4 linked regions of the Oreochromis niloticus genome follow. Each later gene encodes a partner of the first gene's protein in a complex. Links are inferred from orthologs where the notes say so. Each region holds a gene or a part of one and is shown in the gene's direction. Other genes may lie near its edges.

Region 1 (7,369 bases):
TGCTCTACAAGGCTGAGTACTTCCTGGGAGTAGCCATTATCAACTCGCTCCTCAACCCCATCATCTACACACTGACCAGTAAGGACATGAGGAGAGCCATTCTGAGGCTCCTCTGTCGGCCATGTCTAATGACCTCAGATGGGCAGGTGAAGAAGATTGGGATGCCGTTCCTGGAGTGCAGTTTCAGTAAAACTGAGGTGCCCTCCCAGAAGTTAGAACCGGGTCTGGAGACAACTATTTCATCTGGAAACGTCATCACCACTCCATCTCCAGTTAAAGCCCTATACCCCAAACTTTTCAAGTCATAAAGACTTTGACTGACTGTGTCCAAAATGTGTAAATGGGTTTCCCGCTGAATAGAGGATATGTAGCGCATCCACTATTGAGAGACAGTTCTGTTTTGTTTGTTTTTTTCAAAGAGCCATAAAAAGGGGGCGTATAAAAGACGATGACTCATCTTTGACAGTGTGGCGCAGTTATGGCAATATAACTGAATCACCAAATTTCATTTTGATGAAGCATACCAAACCAGAGAGCAAAGGATGCAATTCAAATGTGAACAAGCAATGTTTTTTATGTATATGATGCTAGCAATACGTCTTCTTTATTAATTTGCACTGACATATGCAACCTTGGACTCAATTTTTTCTGGGCTTCTGTATTTTGTGTGAAGCTTAGAAGGACGCTTCTGTAAACTCAAAGAGTGAAAGACTGAAAACTATGTACTTGCTGGAATAATATGGAGGCTAACGTTTCTCATCTTGCAGTTTCTTAAGTGCCTTAAAGTCAGAATAAAAACTCCTAACAGTTACAGCGTGTAATCTGCAGACACCTGGATTTCGCTGGTTCGAAGACTGATTGTGTGCTAGATTTGCATGGGTAGATGTTTGGTTACCCTACACGTATCTGTGTACGTGATGCAAAGGAATTAAGTTAACAGGAAAAAGGTGGCACCCTTCTTGAAATTGCTGAATGCTGTATGCAAATAAATTATGTGGGAGAGGAGGTGCAGCATTAAAACCCCCTAACAGTTTTGAAATGACAGGTGGTTAACCTATCTGCGGTAGACGTGGAAAGTTGTTGGGGTCGTGTCCAGTTTTTTTGAAATGTCAACCTGACATCTACAGTAAAAACTGCTGCATTTACAAAATGTCATCATACTTAGCATCGGATTAACTGAAAGATAATGTTACAAGTAATGTTTACTTTCCACTGGCTGACAGCTTAACTCCAACTGAAACCAAATCAGCTGCAGTTGCATCACGTCAAGGCTTTACATTCCAGCTTGTGAAGAAGACGACCTTAAAAAGAAGTTCATTCAGCTGCATCACAAGTTTTATGGATAAAAATATTTCTGCCTTTGTAAGTTACAGATCATGCTGAACTGGTATAAATTTACCAAGCAATTGTTTCAGTGCTTCCTTTCATTGTTCATCAAGTTAACAGAACATTTCAGTTAAAGGTACTGAATGATTTTTTTTCTTACGTCATTCAAGACTTTAATTGATTAAATGAGGTTGTGGTTTTTTTTGTACTAAAATGTATGTAGTGAACTTGATGTATTTGTGAGCATATTTTTTATATCTCTATTGTAAATTATATATATTTTGTAACAAGAAAACGTTAGCAAAATTTGTGTTTCTTTTCATAAAAGAAATAAAGTGTTTCTCTAAAACATTCCAATGGGGTTTCAATTTATTTTCACTGTTAGTGCCCTGCAGCATTCTTAAGTGCATCAGTGTGTATTATTGTGTTAGTGTAGCTGTGGTTAAGCAAAGAAGTATCACAGGAAGTCAGCCTCCCTCATCTCACATCTGGTAATGGCATTGACCTATATACATCAACTTTTGCCTGTTTCTGAGTGGCTTAACCTCCACACAATGCCTCTTTTAGTAAATACTTCTTAACCAGTGGTTACAAGTTACTATCACCTCACACTGATCCGGCCTCCACAATGCCAGTCATAGTTAAAATTTAGAGAAATTACACAGCTGTTATGTATCCAGTTAAGCTACAATATATTGGTTGATTTGCAGAAAACAAAAAGAAGCTGCTTTTCAGTTCTTGTTGATTTTTGTTTTGTCAGGCCACCGTTAAAAAAATGTCAATAATGCAAAGCACGTCTAGTGTGACAGACAGCAGATTTTTCCGTGTGATTTTAACTGTCTTTGCCCTAAAGGCATTCTGTAGTCAACCATAACCCCCTCTTCCCGGCATTTGGCAGAGCTGTCCTGTGCTCCACCTTGCTTTTTGCTGCAGCAGACTCAACTGTTAAAAGTTAGAAGTCATGACCAGTGACTTATAAATAGAAGAAGTTGGTAAGTGGTTTTCAGGGTTTTTTTTAAATGTCACACCACTGTTAGAAATAAACTGTCAATAATGCCCAGCACACCAAGTGTAATAGTGTACCCAATGTAACTTTTAATAAACACTGAACACCAAGGTTTTGTTTTGTTTGATTTGTTTTTCCTGTGAACTGGCCCTCCACATCAACTATAGTTAAAATAAAGAAAAATTACACAGCTGTTATGAATCCAGCTAATTTAGCTCCTATAGAAAGAAAACTGTATTCAGTGCCTGCATTTATGTCTAAATTTGTCTTATAATACTGCCAAAGTTACAGTTATGAAGACATGATTTTTAATGCTAACATTCAATTCTGGTAAAGACTGTTGGTTGATTTGCATGAAGCTAAAAGAAGCTGTTAAGTTCTTCACTTATTTTTCACATGTTTTTTTTGTCAGGCCACTGTTAAAAAAATGTCAACAACGCAAAGCATGCTTAGTGTGATAGATAGCAGATATTTTCCTGTGATTTTTACTTTCTGTGGCCTAGAGACATAAGCCCTGCCTCATGGTGCTAGAATACCTCTTATATGATTTGTACAGTGCAGGTGGTCCTCCAGATGTTTGCTTTATCCATGAGAACTGTGCCTCCTGGCAGAGGTCGACAAGTCAGAGAATCTTTCCTGTACTCTGGCTTCTGTTCTGCTATAATGAACTCAACTGTTACAAGTTATGACCATTGATAGTCCCTTGATGCCACAGCCACAAATAAAAAAACTGTACTTTTCCTTGCTCTAGCAGAATTTGGGAAATGACAGAGCTGAGGAACTGGTAGTACAAATGTGGGTGCAGTCTTAACCTACCTTTGTACGATCAGTGTATAGGAAGCATCCATCTAGAAGAGCAGTTTGGTGCCTCAAGGCTTACTTCAGCCTTTTCCTCTGATTGGATCTTTACACAGACACACAGCAGAGTCTTGGGGGAACTCTAAGTGGTGTATGCATCATGACTTGTCATTTCATATCTAGGATTTGCCAGTCCTTTCAACTTTAAGGTGTATAGATGGAATCTTATCATGGGGTGCTTGGTGTAATGGGCTGTGAACTGTGGTTGCAGAGCAACAGGGCTTAAATGTCTTGGTTATATTATGGCAGCTCATTCCACGGGATTAAACTCAAAAGTGAGTGTTTACGCTTGCAGTCTCACAGTTAGCTTTTGGTGCCACCTTTTGGCTTTTAAGCAGAACATCAAATTCTGTGACCTGAATTACGTGTTTTGGAAGAAGGAGGGGGAAAACCCCCTTAGTGGTGTGTCAGCACTGCAAACAGATTCCTCCCAAGCTCCTGTGCTATGTAGGAGTCATTCATGTTTTAAGGCAGAACTGCAGTAACATTATAACCATGTCTCTAGAGCACACACCATTATGTCTGAGCAACATAGTGATCGTTAAACAATGCCAGTTTAGTAATTTCCTGCTGGCGTTTCAACAATTACTCACACAGTTTTAAAGCAGTGTTACTGCATTATTGCAGTTATTTTCTCATAATTAGATCCCATTTTAAGTTGCTAGAAGAAGTACCTGTTTTGCAGTTTTATCCTTTATATGGTATTTGTGTCAAATTTTGATTGACGTTAAAGCTGCAGTTTTTGGCTCCCTGCCAAAAATTGGCCCAGCTTTTCCTTCGTTTTAAGAATTCCTTCTCAATAAAAGCCCCCTCCCACGGGACACGTTTGTCTGCCATTAGTAATAAACAGAGGCGGGCCAACGCTTTAGTGGCGAGCTCTTATTGTGAAGGCGAGATGAGGCCGGTACAATGCTTAGTCACGCTGAGTTACAGCTTTCTCCTCCTTTCTGTGTGGTTCGCAGCTCGGCAGACCGCGATGGAGGAATTGTTCTAGACTACGGTAATTCTCTGTTATTCCAAATTTAAGGAGCCATTAGTGATTAATGTCAGTTGTTTGGACATGTTTAGATTTTGTGCGGGTGTGTTAGCAAGAATATATTTTGATACCGCTTTGTTAGCACGTTTGTTGCGAGGTCGGCTCACAGCCGTTACTCTGCTGTCTATTATTAGGAGCCTATTTTGCTGTCAGCTCTGTTTCCGAAACGTTTGACTTGTTGTTTTGAGGGGGATTACGGCTCTTTCATCGTGAGACCTTCTGAGTTCACCGTCTTTGCAAACCCACCAGAAACCTTTAGCAGCCGATTTTGCTTGCTCTGTTCTACCTTTGCATGCCAGGTCTGTGGATTATTTATTTATTTTTTTGACAAACGCAAGCTCAGAAATGGTCCTCGTAGAGGACACACGATGGCTTTTTGTGTGCTCTTCATGTCAGGTAAATGGCGCGGAAATCCAAGTCCATCATGGTTTATGTAAGGGACTGGCTTCACTTCTGGGTCATGTTTTGGTACATCCAGTTCCACTGTTTGCTCGGTGAAGAGTTCACGATGAGTCACCGAGGAAAGCTGGTTGCCAAAATGCCCGAGAAACGCGCTGGACTCTGTACTTGTGTTTGTTTCACTCCTGTCTCGATGGCGTTTGCTGGCTCTGTAGTACAAAACAAAATAAAAATCGCTGACACAGCTGTAGGTGTAGCTCAGATCAAACTGTTAAACTTGTAGAGTCCCTCCAGTTGTTGTAAGACACCCAAGACCTGTAGGTAGGCCTGAAGGGTGGCACGCAAACCGACGTGCAGGGTCTCTGTCAGGGGTGAGTGTGCATCTTTATGACTGTGGCTATTGATGAGCCAACTTTCTTGTCAAGATTAGGGTCGCAGTGGAAGATTTTTTTTTAGCAGCATCAGCATAAATCGCTGGTTTATCGTTCACGTTCATCTTTTAAAGATGCATACTGCATATTTTCAGTTTCCTTTTTGAGCTCGTCCTTTTGTAAGGATTTACTGCTGCCAACTCCTTGAAACTTCCTTGTTTAGTGTCACCGTTGAGTGACAGTTTAATTTCACTTCTACAACCTGTAATGAACAAGTTTTCTCATGCTAGAGGAGGAAAACCCTGCAGATGTTTGCTAGGAGTCGTTGACTTATGGCATGTAAAATTTCAGGATCTCCCACATGCGTAGGTTATAAAATGTCTTAATAAATGCTATCACAATACATGCAGTGTTTGTCAGCTGATTCATCCATTGATTGATTCAACAACAGATACTATCTTTAGAGTGGCTTGGACCCAGTTATACCTGTCGCATTCATCATACCTAAAAACATGTTTTTATTATTGATGAAATGTCAGAGAAATGCAGCAGGTAGAGCGTGGGACTTGGAGAGCTTGTTTGTCAGTGAGTCGTTTCTGTCTGCTGTGGAAAGTGGGCGAGTTGAGCAATATGTTCTCCTGTGAAACTATTTCACCCAGAATCCTGGAAGGGGGGAGGCACAGCAGTAAATGTGAATCGCAGAGTGTTTCATGTTACAGCGAGCTTAACTGGCTGACTTCCTCATGACGAGTTCCATCATGGCCACTGACGTGTCCCCATCTGTTGGTAAAATGAATAACACTCAAACTTAGTTTGTTTTTTGTTTTTTTTTTCCCCTTAATCTTTAATGATTGCAAAGAACACTGTAACCTACTTGCAGATTGGAAAGCTACAAGGCCATATAAACTGGCCTTTTGCTTTGCGTCCTTTTATCAATGCTTCACATAACGATCAGTGTGCGTGTGGGTGTGTATACACAACTTACAGGTGCTTTGTTATATAACTGAACCCTCACAGCAGCATTGTTGCTGAGTAATTCAGACCCTTCCTGATCAGAGCGCTCCAAACGGACATTAACCACATGTTTCTTGTATTGTACGTCACTGTTGCAGGCAGTTCATATTCTGAAAAGAAGAAGTGGGATTCGAATGAAAAGGAAGGCATTAAATTTTCAACTTAATGGGTTCAACGTAGTGGCTCTGATCCCACATATTCCCTGTAGAAGTATTTGTTTGTAAGCCAGTCTGCAGAGCCAGAGCCCTCTCCTCCTCCTGGATTACTCCGATAAAAGTACCTCTTGACTCTGATTAAAAGATTGTTTTGTTTCTTAGCCTAATTTGGTTTAAACATGTCTGGAAGATGCTGCAATGGATGTACTTGGATTCTGCTGTTGGTTGAACAAACTGTTCCCTCTGTTCAAGCCCCCAGTGGATTGGCAACAGGGCATAGCAAGAGCACACTTAGTCATGCTGGCCTGTTAAATTAAAGCCTAATTTAAGTCACAGCGTTGTCCTTCAAAATGAGCAGCACTCCCTTGCTGCTGCTTACACACTTAGTTACTTGCTGTTTTGCTTATATTGTTAGGCTCTCTAGGTGGACATTTTTTACTTTTAAAAGTAGTGAAAGTAATAAGTAGGATTGCAGGCACTTGAGTTCCTCACCAACAGTTTTTCTTTGCGTGTTTGGAGTTTTAACGCTAACTCAATCAATATTCACTTCACCCTGTCTTTTATCAGCTGTGCACACTACCTGTGTGTGAAGACATGCCAGATAAGGAGAAACTATCATGACTGTGAAAGATGGGACTGTAAATCGACTCTGTCTTCATCAGGGAAGCTGGACTGCTTCAGTGATCCTTCTTTGATACTGAGTTTGCATCTGCCCTACTGAAGAGCACCTGTTAGATAAGCCCTTACAGCCATGTAGTACTTCCTTTGTTTTTTAAATTGTCTTGGATTGCACACAGAATTAGTAAAGCAATGTTTAAGTCAAGCCTGATAAATGAATGATTTCCCGGCTATTTCTCGTTGCTCAAATACAGCGTATTAAATAAACACCATTCCTGGATTGGTACCCAGTACCAACGCATACCTTATTGTATGTTGAGTTGAGGTAATTGTGTTGTATCAGAACTGGGGTAAAAAAACAAAACAAAAACTGCATCCGTGCATCAGTAGTAGCAACTGATAGAGAGAACTAGAGTTTGAGATTCATAAAAGCAGAAGATGGTATTTGTTTTTACTGACCTGCATAGTCATCGTTACAAAGACAAAGCCTTGACTGTAAGTGGAGTGCATGAGGAAGAATGACAGAGAATCATGTGTCACTGCATTGATAAAGTTTTGTTGTATGAGTTCATAGATGAAGAACAGT
Region 2 (7,708 bases), on another chromosome or scaffold:
CCACACGCGAGTGTTAAATGTAATGTTAGGATTTTAAAGCATACAATATAAAATAAATGTTGTTATTTTGGGTACATTAAATTGTTATCAGACACTGGGCTAGTTTATACCTGAAAACGGTAAGTCGATTAAGAAAAGCATAGGTCAGAGCATTATTTAAGGTTATTTTGAAGATATTTAAACTTGGACAGGTTCTAGCTTCTCAATTTAAGCATTTTGCGTTTTTAAAGATGTTTTAGACGTTTAGACGTTTATCTTTTGGAACATAGATTAACATAGATTAAGGATTTTCCGCATTTTAGGACCCAAGAAAAGAAAACTGTTCACGGTTGTAGGTGATCGGGATTGTACTTGTGCCTACAATCTCCATAAGTTTCATACTATAAATAAGTGAATGACAATATTTTATGTATTTATTTTATTAATCAACCTTTAAACGAACCGTTGACATCAATGCAATGCTCCCATTTCATTCTGAAAGGAGTTAACGAGAAGCGTTTGAATGCACCATTTAACGCGTTTCCCAGCATGCATTGCAACATTAGCATAGACTGTAAAGGGCTGGTTGCATATGTTCCACTTACTGCTGAGACATCTTTTATATGGCTTAGCCCAGTATACAGTCTGTGCCTAAGATAGTAAATGCAATTAGTAAATTATATAAAACAACGGTAACCCTTCTGTTTGGAATATTAAAGAGTTTATCGGATTTATAAAGAATCACTTATACCCTACATTAAACACCATTTTGACACAAATGCATGAAAGTGAACAGTGGAAACATACAATTCAGCAAGTCTGTAAGTTAAGTATCAGAATTTTTTAATTGTCTCATTTTTAGCCAGATATATGTAGGACGAATCCAAATTTAAAAATGTAAACTAATCCTAGAACATCTGTAATGATTTACCTTTACTACAGCTGCATCGTCACCTGGTCAAAATTGCTCATGTGTGCACTTTTTTTTGATGTGGTTGTAAAAACAGAGTAACTTGAAACAGTCAACACTGTTTACCTTTCTGCTTCACCTCCACTCAGTCACCTGACCAGCGTGACTACCACTTCCATATGGTCCACATGGCTGCTTTTAAAGTAATGATTTGACACAAAACGACAGCAAATACACCACAAGCAACATTATTGTGAAGTACAATTCAATCAGGATTAAAGTACTGAAGGAAAGAGACTGTAAAAAATGGATTAAAATAGAAACTTTATTTTAGACAACATTTGCCAACAGAAACAATGAGACATTCTGTAAACTAAAATGTCCAGATGTTTGAGGTTTTATTTCCAAATGGTTAAAGTATTAACTTCCAAAACAAAGTTCTGTAATGCACTGACTGCGGGCAGTTAGAGTCTAAGTGTATCACAGAACTTTATTTGGAAAGCCACAGTGCCACCTCATAGGTTTGTCCTTGTGTGGAACCTTATCCTCCTCATGACTGGGTGCTCCTTCAACCTGCAGCAAGGCACAAAAGCAAGGGAAAACAAGACAGCCATGTTGTATTATCTTTTTTTTAATTTTCACTATACTGACTCCACTAAAAAAATATAACAGAAAACAGCTCAAAAAGGCAGAGCTAAGATCTAAATGTGTTAAGGACGGGCCTGAAGAAAGGCGAGCTGTTTGGTGGTTCCTCCCTAGAGTCACACAGGTATATAGCAGGCCAGGTGGTGTCTTTTTACACGCTGCTAGCAATACAGAAATGATTAAAGACCTAAATAATATTTGGGTGTGTGCAAAAGTTGATCCTGCAGTACACCCTCCTCAAAAATGGTTCTTGAGTGTATTTACTTACCTCTTTAGTCTTGCCCATCTGGTTGCTTGCAAAGGTTACATTTTAAGTCTACGCTGGCTGGCATATTTTAAGTTTTACAGTCTTGCTGCTACCTTTTTGAAAGGATTACTTCACTTCAAGTACCACAGGGCATAAATGACTACCTGTTGAGCTTTAACAACTTTCTGAATTAAACAGGCCCTTGAGAATAACCCATTTACAAAAGAGTGATATGATAGCAATGAGGAAAGTTCAGAAGGCCAGCTGAGCTCCAGGAGTATTGAGTTCTAACAGTTTGAATGTAGTTGGAAACTTGGCACTTCATCAGCAACCAAATGACAGCAACTTCAGAAGTGCAGAAATAACGTTCAAAATCAACACTGCAACGTGTCAACCGGAATCTTAACGATTATTTCTTTAAGAAGTACGATTTTAAAGGCAAAGTGAGCTTTGCAAGTCATACTGTACCTGATATAGGTAGACACAAGGGACCAGCTGCAATCCAACACGAGGGGAAAACAGTCTAGATCATAAAACGCAAAAGATGAAAGCGAACTGAGGACTTTGCACGCCACGGATAGATTCACATTGCAAACGCCTGTTTTCACTGCAGTTGATGTCCATCGGCGGACTTGCAGCGCTCTAATCGTAAGGTGGCCGCCGCCGCTTTTACCTTTTCTTCCCCCAGTGCTGTGCAGTTCACTATATGCAGCTGGAAGAATGTCGACGTGGAGCTGCCAAACGTGAACGCGTATTCAGGAGCGCGCACGAGAGGCAAAAATAGGCTTTTTTAGTGTAATTTCACGCAGTGGCACAGCGAGCTGCACTTTAGTGCGAGACGCCTCACAGATGGGTGCTACAACCGGGAACAAGCCTGTCTTATTACACGGGCATATCTGAAAAGCCACTTAATGGCACCTCGGTTTCGAATTCTTACTAACGCCGAGGTTTCAGAATGATTCAAATGTGATTAAGAATGAGGGTTTTTCTTTGGGTTATCCTCCTCTTAATTTTCTTAAATGGGCGAATCTCAGATCGACTGCTACAACGTTTATTACATACCTGTGCTCTCCACCAGTGTGGAGAGAAGATTTATATCCTTTAGCCTACTTAGGAAGTGGAAAAGTAATAATAAATCATAACCCACATTCCAATTTTTGGAAAGGTCCGAGGAATTACCAACAACATTTAGCTGAATGAAAAGTAGTGCTTATGGAGAATGTCCTCTTTCATACTCTTAACTTGTTAATGGATATAATTTGCTGTTAAAATAGTATTTTAATGTTCTAGTTTGTCAAGGTGGATCAATGTTTCATGTTGTTATTAATGTTAATAATCTACAGCACATGTGGTGAAAGAAATTATTAGACTGTACCTTAATAAAACGCTGCTATAAAACACAGCAATATGACCCAGAGTGATCCAATATCCTTATGGTTTAGGATATTATACTATTACTACTATTGATTAACTAGTGGCTATCTATCTATCTATCTATCTATCTATCTATCTATCTATCTATCTATCTATCTATCTATCTATCTATCGTAGAAGTACTAAATAGCATAAAATGCTTAAAAACTACTGCAATATATACTATAATATGGTAATTGCCCAGTAAATCGAGTAAAAACCTGCATATTTCCTTACAAAATGTACTGAAATGTGCAGTATTTCGGTAAGCTTAGCAACTTTTGGCTAAATAATAACAATATTAATATAACCTAAGCAACTTTTCTACACTCTACACTCTACAGTAACTTCATATATGTACCAGTTCTGAAGAATAGCCTTTACTGCATTATAATGGTTAAAATTTTAATATTTTTTTCTCCACTACATAAAACAAACATATATATCGATAATGGAAAGGAGTTACAGATCTGCAAATCTTTGAGATTCCTTACTTAGACGTTTTAGATCATTACGTCAGTTTTGTTTAATTTTATGAGAAATAGTGTAACAGGGAATAATTTAGCTTGTAGCACATTTAGTTAACCCACTGTAATGATTCATTACTTGACAGATGAAGATTTTCCAATTAGAACACCCAGTGAATTATGGCAGAGTCTGACTCCCACACCCTCAACCTCCTCCCAAAAGATGTTAGTAATAGTTCCACCCATTTGAACTAGTATCTCTTATGCGCCTACCTCCCTTCCAAAAACAAACAGACAAATAAACAAACAAACAAAACCTAACAGAGGTCATTCTGCACTGGGGCTTTTAACACATATTGGTATTTTGCCGCGAACAGGTCTGAGCTTCAAAGTAAAACTTTAAATGCAGGACTGTAACTTTAAACTGGGTGTTCTGTTTCTCTCTTTATGATTCTGTGATGGTCTACCCAGCTGCACAAGGAACATCAGGGCCCCAGGGTCTCCAGCTCCACGCCGGTCACGGTCACCAGCAGGGGGAGGTATGCACCAAACAAAGTCTGGTCATGTCCGTGACGGAGTTAAAATAGAAGGTACACATTATATATATTTCTTTTATGAGCTGGCTTATATAACGCTGACTATAAACGAAGGTATTACATGTTGCAATTTACGTATTGGTTAAAGTATCATAAAACCTTTAACTTTCACATAAATATATTGTGTAATTTTTTTTGCGTGGCAACTATTGTGTTAAATGGACTCCATGCGCATGCACACACAGTCCTTATCGCCAGCCCTCATAGGCCACCGCGAGGGGGACGATCCCGGTGGGGAGGGCCATCATTTCCGTAATGCTCATTAGGTTTGGAGGAAGCAGCACTTCTCGCCGCTCAGCTCCCGTGACGGACTATATCGCCTCCAGACCGCTCGCCATTTTTATATCCAATTTTAAGGAATAACACACAAATTTTTCAGTCATAAGGAGTTTTTTTTTTTTTTCAAAACCTCACGACAGAGCTCCATAATGATGGAAATGGAGGTGATGCATTCCGGTCAACAGGTAAATAGAGTATTTCTCAAAAGTGATCGCTAGAAAAGAGTAGACAAACTATCTGACATTGACTGTCAACTTCCTTTTTTAATGCGGGCTATTAGAGAGATAGACTTTATTTAAACTTTTATTTATCAGTTATCATAAATTACAGCTAAATTACAGTACTAGTGTATTTACGCCGGTGTTACAGACGTTATAGCGTTAAAAGTGTGAGGTAGACTACGCCGACAGGCTGTCTTAGAGTTAGACATGTTAACTCTCTTTCAGTTCTGCAAGTCATCCACTAGTGACGCTTTTCCTGGACAGGAAAAAAGTCCCCATTAACAGAACAGGTTCAGATATTAGTGTTGTGATCAATTGCCCAAATAAAATAACAGGTTCTTTTTATCTTGGCAAGTTAGACAAACAGAACCTGGACTCTGTTGAAGCTTTTGCCGTAACTGTGTCATCATCTCCCCCTGTCCACCCCGCCCTCCTCCTCAAAGCATGTGATCCCATATCTGATAGCTTTTATAACCACCATGAATGATTTCTTTTACTGCTGCCTATGTCTTTGCTGCGTGTTTTACAGAGTTAATAAAAAAGGACCAACTATTAGACTAGACCTGTTTTCCTAGCTGTTTTATACAGTGAATGAAAACACTGAACTTGGTTGAACTTTATTTTTTCCTGTGACATGCCCTCGGATCTTCAGTGTTTCGCTAAGCTTGTCATAGGTAAGGGTCAGTGGAAGTACAGAGTTGACTGATGAGGGCCCAAATGGCTGTGCAGCTGTGTTTCATCATCCACAGTTGAGATTGGATGTCCACTGAATGGTGTTGAGGAAAGGCATGATACAACAGCAGGTTCTGGTCCCTCTTTCGGGCCCTGGGGTTTAACCGTAAATAAGTAAATGAACAACCAACACTAAAGGATTGTTGTTAGGTTTAATATGTATCTCTGGTAACTGTCGTTCTGAAGGCTCTGTGTGTGAAAGCTTCTTTGACTGGTATACACTTGTTGTCTGGCATCAAGGTGCAGGAAGTAGTTTTCTCAGCCTTTTTTTCCTCTCTTGTTCTGGTGCCAGTCCATGTCTTCTGACAGGTGATAGTGACACCATTACTTAAGCACGCCCACACTCACAGAGCCCAGTTGTCATTAATACAGAATGTGCTGTTTATAAAGCTGCATTATAACAACAGGCTAATTTAACAACCACACTGAAATCACTGACTGACAACAGGCTGTTTTTTGGCCTTGCGGTGGTTGTTTTTTCTAAAGGACTGGTGTGACTTGTCTGATGAGCTTATTAGGTGTGACCAACAGACAAGAGTGTTTTTTTCTTTTTTCTTTCTTTTCTTCTTTTTTTGTTTGTTAGAAAACATCAGCAACCTCAAGAAGTGAGTTTAGACATCCCACACAGACATTTTAAGGGACTTCCTCATTCCTGTACAAACCATAATGTCTAGTTGTGTGCTCACCTTCCAACCAGCGAGCAGCCTTAGTAATGTGTAATCCTTTAGTGGTCATACCTCTGATGCAACACAGAGGCAAAGAGGGTTAGTGGGTTCTTTTTTTTTTCTTCAGCACCACAGCTGTAGTCAGGAAAATGGTGTCAACAATGGCTTAAAGTATTTATAGATGCCCATATGCCATTATTATTAGTTTGCAGAGGCTTGTGACTCATCCTGTTTTTATTAAAAAAAAAACAAAAAAACAAGTGAAGAAAACATTATCTGACAGGGTTTTTCTAAACAGTTCCACATCCTCCTTATTGTACATTGTTCTGCTTTGTTCTTTATTCTCCCTCAGTTCCCTCTTGGTTTTCTCTAGGCTCTCTCTCTCTTTTTTTTTTGTATTATAAACCCAAGCTCATAAGTAATGTTTACACCCAAATCTGAGGAACAAACAAGTCACATGCTCAGAGTTTTTTTTTGTGTAAACCAGTATCGCGGGTTTATGTAACATCCTTGGGCCTTGTGAAACACTTTCCTTCTGTAAATAAATTCTGCTAAAAGCCCAGAGAAGGGGCCAGCATAATTTATCTTCAGACATTCTTGTTTAAAAAGGCAAATAACAATCAGCAGCTTAGGGGAAATCTACAGGAAATGGTACTAAAATGTCATCACATGCTCTGCCTAATGTGTAAATATATGTAGGACAAGACTATTGTTGTGCTCAGATAATTTAGTAGTACTTGTAATAGTTCACTTAAATACCTAGTGAGGGTGAAATTGAGGAAATAAGCATTTTAATTTCACTCAGTATGACATCTATGACCTCATAATATGATTAGGTACAAAGGTAGGTTGTAACCGCAGACCTTTCTGAAACCTTACGCTGTAGCCTTTGCCGTAACCGGAGCGCCTTCAAAGAAATGTAGCTATAGGTTGCCATCAATACAGCCGTTGCCATATACACCCAGGTATAAATGCAACACCATTATAGATTTACCGCATAATCATAAGTGACGAATTACAGTGCCAGTTTTACTGTTCTTTGTTTATATGTTTATATGTTCTTCACCAACCATAATACTGTATACTTAAACCACCTAAACACATACATTTAATGGCCACATTTTCTAAATGGTGTAATATGTGTGAACTTACTTGAATCTGAACTTCAAGTACTAGCTAAAAAACGATCCCTGACTGTGTGCGAGTCTGAATACGACAAACAAATTCACACTTCTGCGTAACTGGATAAGCTGTGACTACTTCCCTTCACTGGAAAAAGTATCAAATGAGGATATGTGTCTTTTGCTGGTGTGTGGTGACAACAGAGGAAGGAGAGAAATGCGTCCATTATTCATGCAGTTTCTGTCCCTTGACATTAGTGCCTGTGTTGTTGTCGGTGATCAGATACTGAGGGACAGGGTGTGGCAGGTGCAACAGTCACGCTTCGCAGCAGGGACGTTCTGTTTTGCTCCGATGCTCAGAACACTCCTATGCAGGACAGCATGGCTGCTTGCAACTCTGTTAACCGATCTGCGGCTGTCTTTTTAGGACATG
Region 3 (8,347 bases), on another chromosome or scaffold:
CAGCTGACACTTGCCTGTTCAGCTCTCACACTACAAACACTTACTGGTTATGTTAGCTGATGATTCTACATGAAGTTAAATAAACAGTGAAAATCCACATCATAGAGTGTGTCTGAAGAAGGTAACTGTAGCTTGTAGAGTAACGTCATCTGAAGCATCAGAGAGACTAGGGGTGTGTCCAAATTCATGGGCTGCATCCTCCTGACCGATTAGGTCACAGCGATGAGCCGAACGCTGTCCAAATTTGAAGACTCCTCCGATGCGTCCTATCCCCGAATTTGAAGGATGGGTCGGGTGTATCCTTCGTGGCCCACCATATCCCAGCATTCATAGCGCGGCCCAGCCAATTCCAGTTTCCAACAATAGCGGAAGCTACTGAGTTTTAATATTACTCTTATTAATCTTTCTGGGTCACAAAATAAGCTTTTAAGATATTTTCAGGCGAGAATGTAGCTGTGCAAACTTCAAATATCTGCTCGGTTTATCAAGATGAAGACCGAGACAGCTGGTGACGCAAAACTGAAGGCTAGACCGTCCAATTTCACAGATGTTCACTTCCGGCCTACCCGGCCCTCGGAGGACCCAGCCCACGCAGACCGTGGAGGCCAGGTCCTCAGGAGGATGCAGCCTATGAATTTGGACACCCCTTAAATGTAGTTCCATTAACCAAAGCAGCTAAATATGCTACATTTAGCTTTAAGTCTTAACACAGAGTTATATAAAAAATAAACTCCATACAGTTGTTTTAAAAGTTTACATTTTCTATAGAGACCAAAACAGTTTTTGTACCAGGCTGTAAACATGTTTATTCCAGCTGCACATTTGGATATTTTAACTATGGGGACGGACTCACTGCTGGAGCCTCGAGTGGCCGTTAAAGGAACTCCAGGTTCTGGGACTCGATAACTTCATGGAAACAAGATTATTTTATGTTAGTAATATGAAAATATCCCCAATATAAAAGAAATGTTCACATAAATTCTATATAACATTTAAATAAGTCGACATATTCCCAGTTGGTATGACCCGCAGTTTAATACTGTAGCAATAACTGGATTGTTTTCTTTTTAGAGCTCAATAAAGATAGAATAGAATAGAATAGAATAGAATAGAATAGAATAGAATAGAATAGAATAGAATAGAATAGAATAGCCTTTATTGTCATTGTACAGGGTACAACGAAATTGGAGTGCCACTCCCTTGGTGCAAAAATACAATAATAAATATAAATGTAAAATATAAAAGGTACAATAAAACAAACACTAGTAAGTACGATATATACAGGATAGCAGCATTAATAATAATGACAGTATGGATAGCAGCATAATAAATGACGGTGACAGTATCGTGTAGCTAAGCAGTTTCAATTGTTTTTGTGCTTATTTACTACGGCGACAGCTCTGGGAAAGAAGCTATCCCTGAATCTGTTTGTCCTGGTTTTATGTGAATGAAGATGATCTGCACACTAAAGTTCCTGTCTCTGCTTTTAAATTTAAAGTCACGTCTCAAATGTTTTTAAATGTATAACTGGACATTTTTCATATGATAATTGTTACAGCCTGAAGCGGTTTCCCACCACACACACTGGGAGTGTATCAGAAGACGCAGCTGTCCGTGAACAGAGTTATTGTCTGCGTCCGCAGCTGATTTGCATCAGTGACCAGTTTATGTGACTGCACTCGCTGCTGCAGGGTGACGATAATCATGTAGCAGCGGCTGCTTCAGTGAATAAAGTGAGACTGCATGTGCTTCGTGTAGTTTTTATTTCTGAAATCTAAAATGTACATTAAACTCCAGTGTTAGCATGGAGCTATTCTGGCATCTACTGATTAAATAAATCCCTGAACCTTACCAACTGTGAGCTCTGAGCGGCGGCATGCTCAGCTGTGTAATGGCAAAGGAGGACCAGCTGACACCCAGCATGGTCCGACCAACCTGAGAACCAAAGTGTGTTATTTATCACTGAATAAAACTAAACTAACAGCAGTCTTTCTTTTGCTTCTCCAGAACAGATCCTCAGCATTAAGTACCTGTCTCAGCTGATACTGATGTTCTGTGGTTCAAATTCCTCGACAAATCTGCGGTTAATCAAATTATCTACAACCAATTGACACGCCGCAAACTCAGAGCTTTGGAGGCCAGAGGAAGCTGACTGCTCTGCACAGCCGTTAATCCAACCTTGGCTCATAGATTTGTTTTGGTACTCGGAGATGGACCGACAGTCAGGTTCTGGTGCACCAAATCAGTACTGAACCCGACTGGCCAACTCTGTTACTCTTTTCTGCTTATAATTAATTAATTGTCTTACTTTGTTTATTTTAAGAAACCATTTAGGCCTTCTTTGGGTTTCCAATGTGTCAAACACACCAGAAACACAGATGTTTAGATGACATCATCAGTCTTGTCTGCAGTTTGGTTATGGTGAGCCGTGATGCAGGCAGTAATGCACATCTACAAGCCACATGCATTTTTGTGATTTGTTAACTCTACATTTACATTTCTTTTTGGGAAACTGCGTCTGGTTTTATGATTTTAATAGTCATTTTTTCATTGGGGTGTAGTTCATGTTTTAAGAAAAAGAGGACCTCTTTAAAAGAAGTTCAAACCTGATGGAAATACACCATCTCTGCTAGTTTCTGTTCTAACATAGCCGATGGTCACATGATGAATAAATGATGGACGTAGCCATTGTGATGTCACCTGTTAGTTTGTAAAGGCTGAAGCTGAGCCCATTGACCATCATCATCTTATCTTACTGAAAGAAGATGTCATGTTAGAGGGATACAGGATGCTTATAGGCTAGCGACTTGTCGATCACACCCAGCTTTACTGTGCTTCTGGGAACTGATGGAATTTGATTAGACTTAAAACACACGAGTGAGACCACAAACTGTTGATGATAGCGTTTACTGAGGTCACACAGCGCTCTCGATTCGACACATAGGATGATTTTTTTCACTTGTTTTAGACTGTAATAGTTCCTGTGAAAGATTTGTGTCTTCAGAATCATCAGGAACTTTTCTTGGGAGCTTCTTTACTTTGCTGTTGTGTTTTACATCTGGCGTTACCATGGAAACCAGATTTAACGCAGCCTAAGCCCGAAAATACAGAGATTTACCTGCAAGGTTAAAATTCGGACATAGCTTCTTAAGTTCTGAAAAGTACCTTTTTCTTACACAATGGCCAGCAGGGGGCGACTCCTCTGGCTGGTTTAGTTGTATAGGAGCCTATGAGACATTGACCTTTGGCTCCCCCAATCCATGACCTCATTAAAGACTTTCCTGATGGGTCTATAGTCGCAATCAATACCATATAATGTTCCTTTTTAAATAACAATCTCTGCTAGAGTCAAAAATGACAATGACTCAGGGTACGATTGTGCATGTGACTTACAACTCCTGGCAGTATCGAGTTTCTCGTCCGGTTTCAACACCAAGACGCTTCTGGACGATTCAGTAAGGGATGGCTCATCACATTAGCTACATCCATCATCTTTATTCAGTATATGACTGTAATGCACAGTATAAAAGTTGGGCACAGCAGCTTTAATACACAAATTCAAAATCACCACATAAACAGGTGGACACGCTGCGGGTGCGTGTCAGTAAATTCATTTTTTCCACACACTCAAAACGTGGTTAGATGGATGCAGCAGGGAGACAGAGTTTGGTTCTGTTGAAGGATCACCGCCTCCATCTGCTCTCTCTGATACCTGTTTAAATATTTTATAATACAGCCTAATGAAATATGAAGAGCCCGGCTTTTCCAAACAATTAAGCATAATGAGTGTGTCTCTCAGAGATCGTGGCGCTAAAACTAAAAGGCAACAACTGGGAAATCAAACATGTCAAAGACAGAACTGAAACTCTACACTGATGGAAGCACAGTCCGGATCCAGCATCCGGGCCCGCTCTTTACCGTCAGCCGACTGAGCCTAGTTTTGAATTGACGGACGTTGGCGATAACCAATCAGCGCCTGCCGTGCGCCAAAGCTGTGTTTATTCCACTTAACCGACCAATCAGAGCCGTCCTCTGCGGGCAAGTGCGTCATCAAAGTAGAATGTGAATGTGGGCTGCCTGTTATCGGAGCACACTCTGCTCCCATCCCCCATCTCCACTGAGCAATAGCGGCTGCCTTTTTGCGTGCCGCTTTGTCCTTCTCAGTTCAGCTTGTAAAAGCCATGTGTACAAAAGTCGGTAAGGAAAATACGTGTTTGCCCTTGTGTTTCATAAGAATGCGCGTCAGTTCATGAGCACATTATAATTATTTTCCGCACTTGTCTCATCGCATGTCTTTTATGTCGCACTGCTTTTTTCCCTCCTCCACGGCGGGGCATTTCTCTGTGGGTTCTAACAATGGAGGCGGAGGAAATGAGGCCACCAGCACTGTTCACTGCACCCGCTCACTGAGCCCGAACAGCCCGACTCACGGCGTCAGAGCCGGCTGTGTGTGTGTTGTTCGACGGGTACAGTGTTTATTTGTGTCTCGACCTTGGCGCACGAATTTATGGGCTGTTATGTAAAAAAAAAAAAAAAGCCCTCAAGAGTGTCAAGTGCGCACATACAGGGATGAGTTTCAAACATGGACGTCGGGAAGGGGCGGGGCGACGAAGAGCTGCGATGTGACATGGCGGCGCCGCTCCACATTTACACTGTTAGCGCCTTTTATCTGACTGATGTTGTTCACATGGAGCCTGAGATGTGACACTAACGTTTGCGTAGAAAAGCCCGATTTAATCCGTGATAACATCCGTGTCGTCCACGTTTCCCTCCCAAACACTTCGCCTCTATTCCCCCGTCGCGGCGGTGGGCGGGAGAAACCGTCTGAAGTCGCCGCTTGACTCGTCCAGACGCACATCAATCAATCAAACTGACACTACGTCAACCGAAGCGCTCTCGATTCGACATATTTACTGCGTAACTCGATGGAAACTCGATTTTCTCGCGCTCACGGTGCTGTGGAGCTGCCACGGTTCCGGCTCCGGTCCGTTTTGTGGGCTTTTATCGACTCGGATTATTGTTTTAGGGGAGAAAGGGACGGTTGCAGCGGTAGAATAGGAGGGGGCGTGGCCTTTAGGTTAAGAAATTCTATCCATTGTTACTCGACGCGCTAGGAGAACGCCTCTGTCGAGCCCCTGGCCAATCAGAGACCACCGACCTCATGAAGACCCCGCCCACAAGCCTATATTAAAGGCTCGGCCGTCAGAAGCGTTGGCCACTGGCACAATATAATACTGATTGATCCGCTAACTGAGACGAGGGGATTTACTTTATTCAACCTTTCATTTCAGCCGTCCTTTATTTTATTCTACTAAACAATGGCAGACACACAGGTCGACTCCGGCTCGGATATCTCTGCCAAGGTAAGCTGCCGCACACCTCCATTCGCGGGGCCGTGTCTCCGCGGAGCCCCTTACAAGAATAAAGCTCTCCAGGCTCTAACCTACATTTAAAACCTCTCCGTCGTTGCTTCGCGCTCGCTCGGACTTTGTGGAGTCTGAGGAGGAGGAGGAGGAGAAGAAAAGCCGGTGTTCGCCTCTTTGCCCCTGAACTCGGTGTGTAGAGGGAAGTGGGGGGTCTCGGCACCGCATCACGGACACGGGCAGCGTTAAAGCGCCGCGGCTCATTGTCCGGAGAGTCCTGGTCTGCGCGGGTCTTTGTTTCTGCGAGCAGCTCTGTTCTCCTGCCGGCACGCACACCTCCAAGCGAGACCCGGACACCGAGCAGCTCCGGTCCCCCGGCTCGCTCCCCGCGGGGTTTTCGGACTCGTTGTGAGCGCCGGGGCGCCGCGCATATTTATCCCGCATCTCGGGCTCTTAACGCGGATTAGATCGAGGGGAGGTTCCGCTCCCGGTGCAGGGACTCGGTCGGGTCGCATTACCGGGAGCGGTGACACACTCAGCGGCCGGTGGATGCGTGGACGCGGACCTCCAGCCTGGGGTTTGCTCCGTTTGAATGGAGGACAGCGCGTCAGGCGGTGCGCAGTCCTCCGGTGAACTTTCGGTTCTGCACTTTTCCTCCCGCCTTTTTTATTTCTTATTTCCGTGAGCCCGTTTGTTAAAGCCACCGGCCTGCCTGCACCGTCCGACCCCGTTTGTTTACCGACTCCGGAAGGTCGGCGGCCGCCGCTGCTCCAGCCTGAGCTGCTCCGGTCTCCGCTCCCGGAGCGCGTGAGCGGCTATGAGCCCGGGGCTTCCGCTTTGCTTTGGTGTTTTCGGGGTTTGTTTGCAGGGCGCGCTTCGGTCTCACGGGAAACTTTTCTTTCTTTTTTTTGTAATGCAGACACTTCTTTCTCCCTGTGTGTGTGTGTGTGTGTGTGTGTGTGTGCTCGCGTGCGCGCGCGTGGCCGGGCTGTGGAGGTGTGATGTGACGCTGCTGGTTTTCCCCTCTTTCTGCGGGTTTTCCTCCGTTTACACGTTTGAGCTGCTTTTGTTGTGAAAACGCGAGTTTTTGTGCGCGTGGACTTTGGATCAGATCGGGTAAAAGTTTAATCGCCCCCGCGGGGGGAGTCGTGGCTCCGCGGACCGCGATCATCCCGAGAATAATTCTCAATAATTCTGAGCGATTATAAGAAATGTCCATTTGGAGGAGGTGGTAAAGGTGGAGGGGGTGGAGAGGGGAAAAGTTGGACAGGCATTAGCGCGGGTAATCCGGGGAGCCTGTTCACTATTTTTAGTTGTGGAGCGTTTTTACGCACAAGCGCGTTTTTACGCGCAGCGCGCGGGCAGCCTGCTCTCCTCCTGCCGCTTAACAGCTTAATGGATTTCAACCAATAAGATTATGGAGAGCAATTAATCAATAACAGCCTACGTGTGGATGCGTGAGGCGCGCGTGCGGCGGGGATAATGGGCTGTGGGGGAACAAAACGAGGAAGAGGAGCGGCGTTAGTGCGCGCTGAGCTCGAGCACGGAGGCGGAAGGTGCCGTGTCTTCGCTTCGCTCGCTTGCCATGTGTCGTCTTCTATTGTCCTTTCCTGCCTCCGTTACAACGAGCAGCAGCAGCAGCGTGCATCGCGCTCTCTCCGCCGCCTCCTCCTCCTCCATCATCGACCCCTCCTCCTGCTCCCTCCCTGCTCCTGCGCCCTCCTGTGTTATTTTAAACGGGGTGCATCCTGGGTATTGCAGTGCTTCTCCCGGGCGTGTCTCGTGACATATGGCAGCGACAGCGGCCCATAGAAGACTACAATACCCAGAATGCCCCGCGGGCCACATCAAAGTATCAGATTACAACACATTAGAGGGGATGGAGTGGGAGGAGAGGAAGGAGATGGGGGGAGGATCTGCAGAGGCCAATATGGTGTTTAAATAGGAAGGCTGAAAAACGTGCAGCTCCCAGCAAGCACTGGGACGCTGCTAAGTAGGCCAGTAGGTAGAGGGGCAGGTAGCAGCGGTGGGCGGAGTCTAAACCCAGCAGCGCGTTTCGGTGGGCAGATGAGCAGGTTCAGTTTCTGATGTTTGCTTTTATTTGTTTTCAGGACCTGAAAGAGAAGAAGCTGGTGGAGGAGAAGGAGAACGGCAAAGACGCCGCCACCAACGGAAAGGTGAGTGCCATCACCGCCGCCACAGCAGCAACTCTGTGCACAGAGGTGGACATTTTTAACCATTTTTGTGTTTTCCAGGAGAATGAGGAGAACGGTGAGCCCGAGGTAGATGACGAGGAGGACGAGGAGGTGGACGAGGAAGAAGAGGAAGATGATGGAGAAGGTAGCTTGAAGGCTTATTTGCCTTTTAAAAAATAATAAACTCCTGTTAGAGTCTAAAAATTTTCACCTTTCAACTTTTGTCCTGTAGGTGATGAGGAAGATGAGGAGGAGGATGAAGACGAGATTGAGGGTGGCACAAAACGGGCAGCTGAGGATGACGAGGACGACGATGAGGTGAGGCAGCAGCGCCTAAGACGCCCTTAAAACGAGCGGTGCCATGACACCCAGCAGGCGCCGGTCTAACCCGCCACCGTCTTCTTCTTGTCTTCTTTCAGGACGACGTCGAAACCAAGAAGCAGAAAACCGACGATGACGATTGATGCGTTTCCCCCGCGCCATCCTGCTGAACCACTTCCTGATTCTTCACCTCTGACCGTTTTTCTATGTCGCAGGTGGAGGGGCTGGAGGACTGATTTAAAGGAAAAAATAATAATAATAAAAAAATCCAACATGGTCATTAGCAAGTAGAGTTCAACAAACACCCGCCACGTCCACACTCACCCGAGCTCCCCTCAACGCTGCGAGACGAATTTTCTAGAGGAACCCGCCACCGCATCGACAACGCAGAAATCCGGCTTCTCTTCAGCAACAACACAAAAGGAGAATTTGTTTGTATTTTTATTTACATTTTATATTTTTGTACAT
Region 4 (7,507 bases), on another chromosome or scaffold:
TCTCAAGAAGATGTTTGGAACACTTTCAGATCGTACCAGGAAAACATGCCTTATCGGTTTCTGCACAAACTTGCCGCGTGCACTTTCAGTTTGAGTGATGTTATTAAAGCCAAGACAGTTGAGGGAAGAGCAGAGAGGGGTGTGTTAAGCTGATAAAGTCATTGTAATGTACTATTTGTCAATCAAGTTGAATTCAAATGAAAAAAAGAAGCAACAGAAACTCATTTAGTCATCTTAGAGTTTGGAGCTGATTGTATATAGACTCCATGTGTGATTACAGCAGTGACGTGGGATGAAACACACTTTCAGGCAGGCACCTAACTAGATGTGAATGATTTTCGGCTTATGGCTGAAGTCAATCGTTTGCTGAGCTCCTGCAAGCTGAAGGAGCCAGTTAATGGGCATGTGGTCCAGGCGGTTCATGTCAAGATGGGAAAAATGAACTTTAGAGCCTGTAGAGAGGGAGAAAACAGTGAGTGTGAGGAAAAAAGATATAATGCAGTGCCAACATTAACACATAACATCATATATATATATATACATATATATGTGTGTGTGTGTGTGTGTGTGTGTGTGTGTGTGTATAGGGAGAGAGAGAGAGAGCGAGACCAACTTACCAGGTCCTGCAATGATGGCTCCACCTTGTTGATGTAGGTCACCCTGAAAATCAAATGCAGGACTAGTCATGGCTCTCCATATAGTCTTGATTTGGCCCATAAAAATGCCAGACTTCACATGGGGACTAGGCTGCGCTGAGTTCACAAACACAGATACAAAGACGAAGTTTCATTATCATCTCAAAATAAGCTTACTCATACACTCCAATAGTGTTTTTGCATACCAGAGTCTGTGAATGTCTCCTCTCTCTTCATCCCCAGCTTTTGGTAAATGCGCCTCCCTGGGTCCACATATATTTCATAAGGATACCCCGTGAGCAAGCAGAACGACTACATGACAGAACAAGGAGAAAGAGTACATTTGTCTGGAAAACTATAGTGCCTGCTGTGATATTTATATACACTCATCAGACACTGTAATAGGTACCACTCGCAAGTACTGAGTTAGACCTTAATTCTTTGTGGCATACATTCAACAGAGATTTTGGTTCATATTGAACTGATAGCATCACACAGTTGGTGCAGCTTTGATGGCTGCACATCCATTATGCCAAAGACGTTCTACTGGATTGTAGTAGTGGAAATTCTTATATAGTGAATAGTGAATTCTTTCTCTTCCTTGAACTAGTTTTGATTATTGATGATTTGATGTGTTATCCTGCTGGAAATAGCCATCAGAAGATGCAAATACTGTAGTCAGAAAGGGATGGACGTGGTCGGGATCAATACTCGGGAAGGTTGTGGAGTTTAAATCACACTCAATTGGTTCCAAGTGGCCCAAGGTGTACCAAGAAAATATGCCCTCCACCATTATACCACCAGCAGCCTGAACAGTTCAGAATCAATCCACGCTTTCATTCTTTTTTTACTTCAGATCCTATCATCTGAATGTTGAAGCAGAACTGGAGACTCATGAGACCAGAATGCATTTTTCCAGACCTCTATTGTCCAATTTTGGTGAGCCTGTGCAAACTGCAGCCTCAGTTTCCTGTACTTAGCTGACAGGAGTGGCTCTAGGTGTGGTCTTTTGCATATTTTGGTTCTAACAAGTGGTTATTTCAGTTACTCGTGCCTTCTTATCAGCTCGAAGCAGTCTGGACATTCTCCTCTTACTTTTCACACAGACAACTGGTGCTCACTGGATATTTTCCCCTTTTTTTTCAACCATTCTCTGTAAACCTTAGAGATAGCACTGTGGCAAAATTCCAATAGAGCGCCCACATGTCAAAACCAGACTCAATTAAATCACCTTTCTTCAAAACTTCAGCGAGTTGTTTTGACCATGTCTGCATGCATAAATGCACTGAGTTGCTGCCATGTGGTTGGCTGATCAGGTATTTGCTTTAACAAGCAGCTGAACAGGTGTCCTAACAAAGTGTCCAGTGAGTGTATATATAACAAAATAATTACCTCTATGTGATGATAAGCAGACTGACCGATCACGACCAGTCTAATTTCAGCATCCTGCAACAACACACACGGAATTTTGGATTTGTCATGATCAATTATTTATGTTAATACTCATCAGACCTCCTATTGTTTTAACCGAGCACCTTTGCTGCCAGTGTCGCAGCTATGCTCTTTGTTTTCACAGCCTCGAGTGCACTGGTCCTTACTAAACAAGACTTACCTCCAGTACTTCTCTGGGTATTTTTCCCAAATCATCAACATACTCTTTACAGCTGTAGCACAAGAAATTCTGCAGGGACACATATTAAATAAAATGTTAAAAGGCTGTAGTGATGAGAGAGAGATCACTGCATTTAAAAATTCACATCTTGCGCCTATATAACATGTATCCCTCTGGCTTCACCTATGGAGAACGATCTCTTCATTCGTCCATTTCCAACATAGCACAGGAAATTCTTGGAGCATCTGGCCAGCTACACCTGGGCTCACCTGGTACCTACTTTGAAGCCTATCAAGACCCATTTAAAAGCGCAACTTAAGGGAGGGTGCTTATGCGAACCCATAACTCATCAGCAAAGTTAAGCCAAATGAAGTTTTCCCTACCCGCACAAAAATTATGACCGATTTCCTGTCTTGGTATAGGGTCTTGAACGGAATAGAAACTCCATGCCGGTCGTAAATTAAACAGTCTTCGACGTCTCTGAGATTAATATCCACAAAACAGGTCACATTTTCCTGGCTTCCTTTAGTTACTTGTCGAGTTATTGGTGAAACTACTTCAGCCATTTTTTTTCCTCAGAGGATCCAGAATTCGCAGTGCTGCTATTTTGGGAGTTGCCATTCAGCCTGGAGGAGCTGGTGCCTGGAAAATTCACGCCCATATGCTCCCTCTCTCTCTCTCTCGCTCTCTCTCTAGGAGAACGAAGACAGACGGCCAACACATATTCATTGGTTAAACATTGCAATGTTTAACCATTGGTTAACCATTGGTTAAACATTGCAATGTTTAACCAATGGTTAATATTATCTTACTCTCCGGATTTAGTGTATAAACAAGGCAATACAAACAGAAACTGACCGGTGCGTCAGTGCGTCAGTGCGCACGCTGTGACTTCACAATAACAGTTAGCAACATTTATTTATATATATTTCAGCTCATATTTCAGTGAACAACATTGCCATGGGAATTTACAATGAAGGACAGTTTGAACTGTACATCCAGATTATTATCTCTCTCTCTCTCTCTCTCTATATATATATTAATTTTATGCAGTAGACGTACTGTACAGTTCGGTACTGTAGACAATTACATGTGCTATGTATATTGTCGTTAACAGTCTCTCATTCTGTGTTATGTTTATAAATTATAATTTTATGCCCTGATTCTCTCTCCCCAAAGTGTTTTTTTTTTTCTGAGCTCCGCGCAAGACCAAGTTGGCTGCAGTATACTGTAGTTGCTGCAGAAAACCCAGTTAAGTTACATACAACTGTAGATTTTATCCTATTTGTGACTTTTAAGTTTTACATTTCATACTTTAGTCTAATAGTGCTTGGTGGTCTACTTGATGTGTTTAATGCATGAAACGTTTGGAATATAAACAATGAGTTACATGAATATTTAAATAAATGAAATGAACTTCTGATTAACTTTGATTTATTTTGGCAGTATGTCTATATTTTATGCTTGTTTTATGTTGGATGCATTCTTTGAATTCGCATAATATGCAGCGTGTGTAGACACTTGGCAGCTTCAGTACAACCAAACCTACAGGTGGAGCTACTTCATTTACAATATCAACTATTATGTTCACGAATAAAATCTGATTATTTTTTGGGAGTGACCAGAATGGACAGGATTAGAAATTAGTGCACCAGAGGGACTGCTCATATCCAGTGCTTGATGATTTAGACAGGCAAGGCTGAGGTGGTTTGGACATTTGAAGAGGAGCGGTAGTGGACAAAAGGTGCTAAATGTGTAGCTGTCAGGGAAGAGGAAGACCAGTAAATAAATTAACTGCAAGAGTAAAGGTGTTAAGACTAGAAATTTATAAGGTAGGTAGTGTTTTCTGTAGCAACCACTGTCAGTAGCTTATTTTGGGGCGGTTGTCCAGTTTTCCTATGGTTAATAAATTAAAAGTTTGCTACTTTTGTTTAAATAAATAATCTAAACACGATACAAAATGATTCCCATTAGGAGACAATAGCTTAATATTTTGACCCTGTGTTTTCTAAGTCAGTTTTCAAGGCTGTATTTACTTATCATTAAACAACAACAACAACAACAAAAAATCAATCCCATGATTGGTTCTTCTCTATCCCCCAAATCCTGGGAACAGGATTTTCATTGATGGCGAATTACGAATCGCCCTCGTCGGCTTCCTTCCCGCTGCCCTCTCGGTGCGGAAGTGCTGTCCTCAAGAGCAACAGCAGCAGCAGCAGAGGTACAACCAGAGCTGCTACTGTTTTGGAAGAGCAGAACGGCGATTTAGTGGCCGGTTTTCCTGCGCCCGCGTCTCTCCTGTCGGGGCTCGTCACCGTTCATCTTGACCGTGGAGCTTAGCAGTATTATGCGAGCGCAGTGCGGAGTGTGGGAGCACCGTGTGAAGTGGTGAGAGATGATTGCTTTTGGGGCTATAGCTAACTTAGCATCTGGGGATGGAGCAGGCTAGCCTGACAGAAAACTGCGAAGCAATCTCGTCTTTCTTTCCCTCAAAAACAACGTTAAGTTCGTGTGAATGTTGAAGACAAATGTGCGGCAATTCCAGGCAAACCGCAGGTGTCACGTTAAGTCTGCTTTGGCGTTTCTACATGCTAAACAAATGACCACCTGTTCACTGTTTACATCTCTGTGTTTTGATTCAGCAGCCACCAACCGGTGCTGCACCGCTGCAGTTATCCGACGAGATTTTTCACGTCCTCAACAAATATGGATCATTAAAAACCAAACAAAACAGAAACAACCCCAAACCCCCAAAACATTTTTCAAATTATGCACAGCGTCCACGTCTGAATCTTTTCCATCGTAGGGAAGCACGGGTGCAAAGCTTGCTGCTCTTTGTTGTGTGCTGCGCTGAGATTTAGGCTTTACTCTTAAATTGTGAGTGTTTTTAACAAATAACATCAGTATTTCATTGCAGTACTGTGTTGTTGGGCTCTCCGGTGCTGAGTTTAATGACACATGTGGTTGCTGTGAGTCTTGTCCATCGTCATGTCTGTGTCAGCAGAAAGGACTGTCCTGATTGTTGTTGACATACAGGATCAGGCTCAGATTTTTCTTTTCTTTTTGTGTGGAAATCTGTGCTCACGTGCTGTTATTTACACGAGCCCACCATGATCACAAATGCATCCTTACTTCCAGATTAAGTTAATCTCACTCTCCACCCCGTGTGTGTGTCAGACAACTCTAGCGTTATCTTGTAAAGTTCCCATCTTTTGTTAAGCATTCTTTCACTGCAGCTATGAAAAACAGCCTTGAAAACATTGCAGCTTTGAAGGATGGGCATTAGATTTTCCTACTAAAGGTTCATGTTGACTTTGCCTTTAGGGAAAAGAGGAACATTAAAGAAGCTAATAAAATGACAGGCTTAATAAAGCACGAAAAAAGCCTCATTAAAAAAGGAGATAATGATAATGATAGCTGTTAGTGATCCTGCAATTTTCCCATATTATTTTATTTATGCGGGGCAAAACATTGTTAGCAAAAAGACATTTTCTGTAAATTGATGAGATACATCTTTACTCATAAAATTGTATTAAAAGTATTATATGTACAGCAATGTTTTGAATAGTCATTTTAAGGAAAAGAAAGGATATCTTTTGTTCTCTTAATTATACAGGGGCTAAATAATTAGCCTAAGCTATTTTTATGTAATGACTACAATAAATTCGTAGTACTGAGGATGGAAACTATCAAGTTCTTTTTTCATTGAATAGTTTTTTTCTGCATTGTGTATTTTTTGACGCCAAGTCTTAACACTCAACTTTCATAGAATTTTCATATCATAATAAACTAGCATCCTTCGCTCTCACAACAGCCTTGTTCACGACACCCATCAACCTCCTCTGAGGTCTTTCTCTTTTCCTCCTGCCTGGCAGCTCCATATTTAACATCTTTTGTCCATTATATCCACTAACCCTGTGCTGCACATGTCCAAACCATCTCAGCCTTGCTTCTCTAACTTTGCCTCCAAACTGCTTGCCTTGAGCTGACCTTCTGATATGCTGATTTGTAATCTTGTTCATCCTGGTCACTGCCAATGAAAATCTGAGCATCTTCCACTCTGTCACCTTCAGCTCGGCCTCCTGTTAGTGCTGAAACATATAATATATATATTTCCAATCATTTTTTTCTGTTGTTCCAGAGTTTCCTTGAATCATCTATATGGGCCATCTTTTTTCGAAAAATGGTTATCGCCTGAAGAAGAGGACACGCAAGTTGCATCACAGGAAGAAGAAGAAGAGGAACTGTTTTCTGCACGGGCCCTGCATGCTCTGCTTTATCGTCCACGGCAACAGCGGTGGTTTCGACGACGAGAGCGACCACTTCGAGGCCAACGGGTGTCGACACAACAGCATCACGGGAATCAGCGTCCCAGGTGTTGGCGGAGTCGGCATCGGAGCGGCAGCTGCCACGAAGCTTGCGGAGCGATACGCAACTCTCGCATCTCCGGAGGATTGCTCCAAGTTCTTGTTGTCACCGAGGGAACTTGCTATCTGGGAGGGCCAGGGGAGGAGCCTTTTGTCAGCTGTTCCTGCCAAACTAATTCCACCACCGGCCCTCTTCCGTACCGCTGGTGTGTCTGTGACTGTGCCCATACCTGTGCCTGTGCCTGGCTGCACCAGCGATTACACAGAGATGGTAGGCATCCGGTTCGGAGCATTAATTCCTAATTAATATAGGCTTTTAATAAGTTTCAAATAACTGTATTGGATATTTATTTACATTTAACAGTGCCTCAACGTTTTTAGTAACAGGGCTATAAGCTACAGATTACACATGAGAAATGTTTATAGGTGCTTTAAACTTGCTTAAAAAATGATATTATGCAGTTAGAAAGGTAAACTTTGACTTTTCTTTGTCCTTAAATATCTCTTAAGTCAAAGCTGTATTCTTTCTAGTCCTTCTTTTATTTTGTTCTTATTGAGGATCCAAACTCAGGGGTGTTGTTCTCATAAATTTCTGTCTGTAATTGTAACTAAATCTGCCTGAAAATCTGATACCAAGTGACCTCTGTGTGTGTGTGTGTGTGTGTGTGTGTGTCCGATTGCAGGTGTGTAAGAGGAAGTGCTCAGAGGTGCAAAGGTGCACCCCTTGTAAGCAGCCGCGCTGTGCCTTCGCTGCTCCTGATGGAGGGCTGGAGAATGGAGGTGGGGGGGAGGCGGCCTCGAACTCTGAAACGGGCCACTGCCACCTTCCCCTTTGCCCGCTTCCCTCCTCCTCTTCCTCCTCTGCTTCCTCTTCTTCCTCACCTGCTGATGGC

Evidence for each region.
Region 2: the proteins of keap1b (region 1) and nfe2l2a are in contact, whole or in part, in a crystal structure (PDB 3WN7), measured with the Mus musculus proteins. The link is inferred for Oreochromis niloticus from reciprocal best matches to the Homo sapiens genes KEAP1 and NFE2L2. Residues at the interface, in NP_001103775.1 of Mus musculus: Tyr334, Ser363, Gly364, Arg380, Asn382, Pro384, Asp385, Gly386, Asn387, Asn414, Arg415, Ser431, Gly433, Cys434, His436, Ile461, Phe478, Gly480, Arg483, Ser508, Gly509, Tyr525, Gln530, Ser555, Ala556, Tyr572, Phe577, Ser602, Gly603; in NP_035032.1 of Mus musculus: Leu19, Ile22, Leu23, Arg25, Gln26, Asp27, Ile28, Asp29, Leu30, Gly31, Val32, Val36, Phe37, Phe39.
Region 3: the proteins of keap1b (region 1) and ptmab are in contact, whole or in part, in a crystal structure (PDB 2Z32), measured with the Mus musculus proteins. The link is inferred for Oreochromis niloticus from reciprocal best matches to the Homo sapiens genes KEAP1 and PTMA. Residues at the interface, in NP_001103775.1 of Mus musculus: Tyr334, Ser363, Arg380, Asn382, Arg415, Phe478, Arg483, Ser508, Gly509, Tyr525, Gln530, Ser555, Ala556, Tyr572, Gly574, Phe577, Ser602; in NP_032998.1 of Mus musculus: Gln40, Asn41, Glu42, Glu43, Asn44, Gly45, Glu46, Gln47.
Region 4: the proteins of keap1b (region 1) and fbxl17 are in contact, whole or in part, in a crystal structure (PDB 6W66), measured with the Homo sapiens proteins. The link is inferred for Oreochromis niloticus from reciprocal best matches to the Homo sapiens genes KEAP1 and FBXL17. Residues at the interface, in NP_036421.2 of Homo sapiens: His59, Thr60, Ala63, Ile66, Met67, Glu69, Leu70, Gln75, Leu76, Gln82, Lys84, Ala90, His96, Val98, Ala101, Ser102, Ser103, Ser104, Pro105, Val106, Lys108, Ala109, Met110, Thr112, Asn113, Gly114, Val122, Ser124, Glu126, Gln163; in NP_001156787.2 of Homo sapiens: Asp395, Arg397, Arg421, Lys423, Asn447, Gln473, Tyr475, Met524, Arg548, Asn572, Cys574, Leu575, Trp577, Glu596, Tyr598, Val600, Ser601, Asp623, Trp626, Lys628, Tyr647, Met651, Arg652, Val676, Leu677, Asp679, Cys680, Thr683, Leu684, Arg686.

What each region holds. Positions count from the first base shown.
Region 1 is NC_031971.2:24,647,045-24,654,413, reverse strand, and holds the start of keap1b (kelch-like ECH-associated protein 1B), read left to right. Parts: upstream 1-4,045; 5' UTR 4,046-4,190; intron 4,191-7,369. Other genes in the region: s1pr5b (sphingosine 1-phosphate receptor 5b), read left to right, coding at 1-308. UniProt on the Homo sapiens protein: Substrate-specific adapter of a BCR (BTB-CUL3-RBX1) E3 ubiquitin ligase complex that regulates the response to oxidative stress by targeting NFE2L2/NRF2 for ubiquitination.
Region 2 is NC_031987.2:17,010,741-17,018,448, reverse strand, and holds the start of nfe2l2a (nuclear factor erythroid 2-related factor 2a), read left to right. Parts: upstream 1-4,518; 5' UTR 4,519-4,685; coding exon 4,686-4,721; intron 4,722-7,702; coding exon 7,703-7,708.
Region 3 is NC_031982.2:35,431,475-35,439,821, reverse strand, and holds the start of ptmab (prothymosin alpha-B), read left to right. Parts: upstream 1-5,199; 5' UTR 5,200-5,318; coding exon 5,319-5,363; intron 5,364-7,474; coding exon 7,475-7,540; intron 7,541-7,618; coding exon 7,619-7,703; intron 7,704-7,790; coding exon 7,791-7,876; intron 7,877-7,977; coding exon 7,978-8,022; 3' UTR 8,023-8,347.
Region 4 is NC_031977.2:23,971,718-23,979,224, reverse strand, and holds the start of fbxl17 (F-box/LRR-repeat protein 17), read left to right. Parts: upstream 1-4,416; 5' UTR 4,417-4,635; intron 4,636-6,388; 5' UTR 6,389-6,408; coding exon 6,409-6,885; intron 6,886-7,297; coding exon 7,298-7,507. Other genes in the region: prxl2c (thioredoxin-like protein AAED1), read right to left, coding at 322-452, 618-752, 842-947, 2,028-2,081, 2,248-2,316, 2,631-2,813. UniProt on the Homo sapiens protein: Substrate-recognition component of the SCF(FBXL17) E3 ubiquitin ligase complex, a key component of a quality control pathway required to ensure functional dimerization of BTB domain-containing proteins (dimerization quality control, DQC).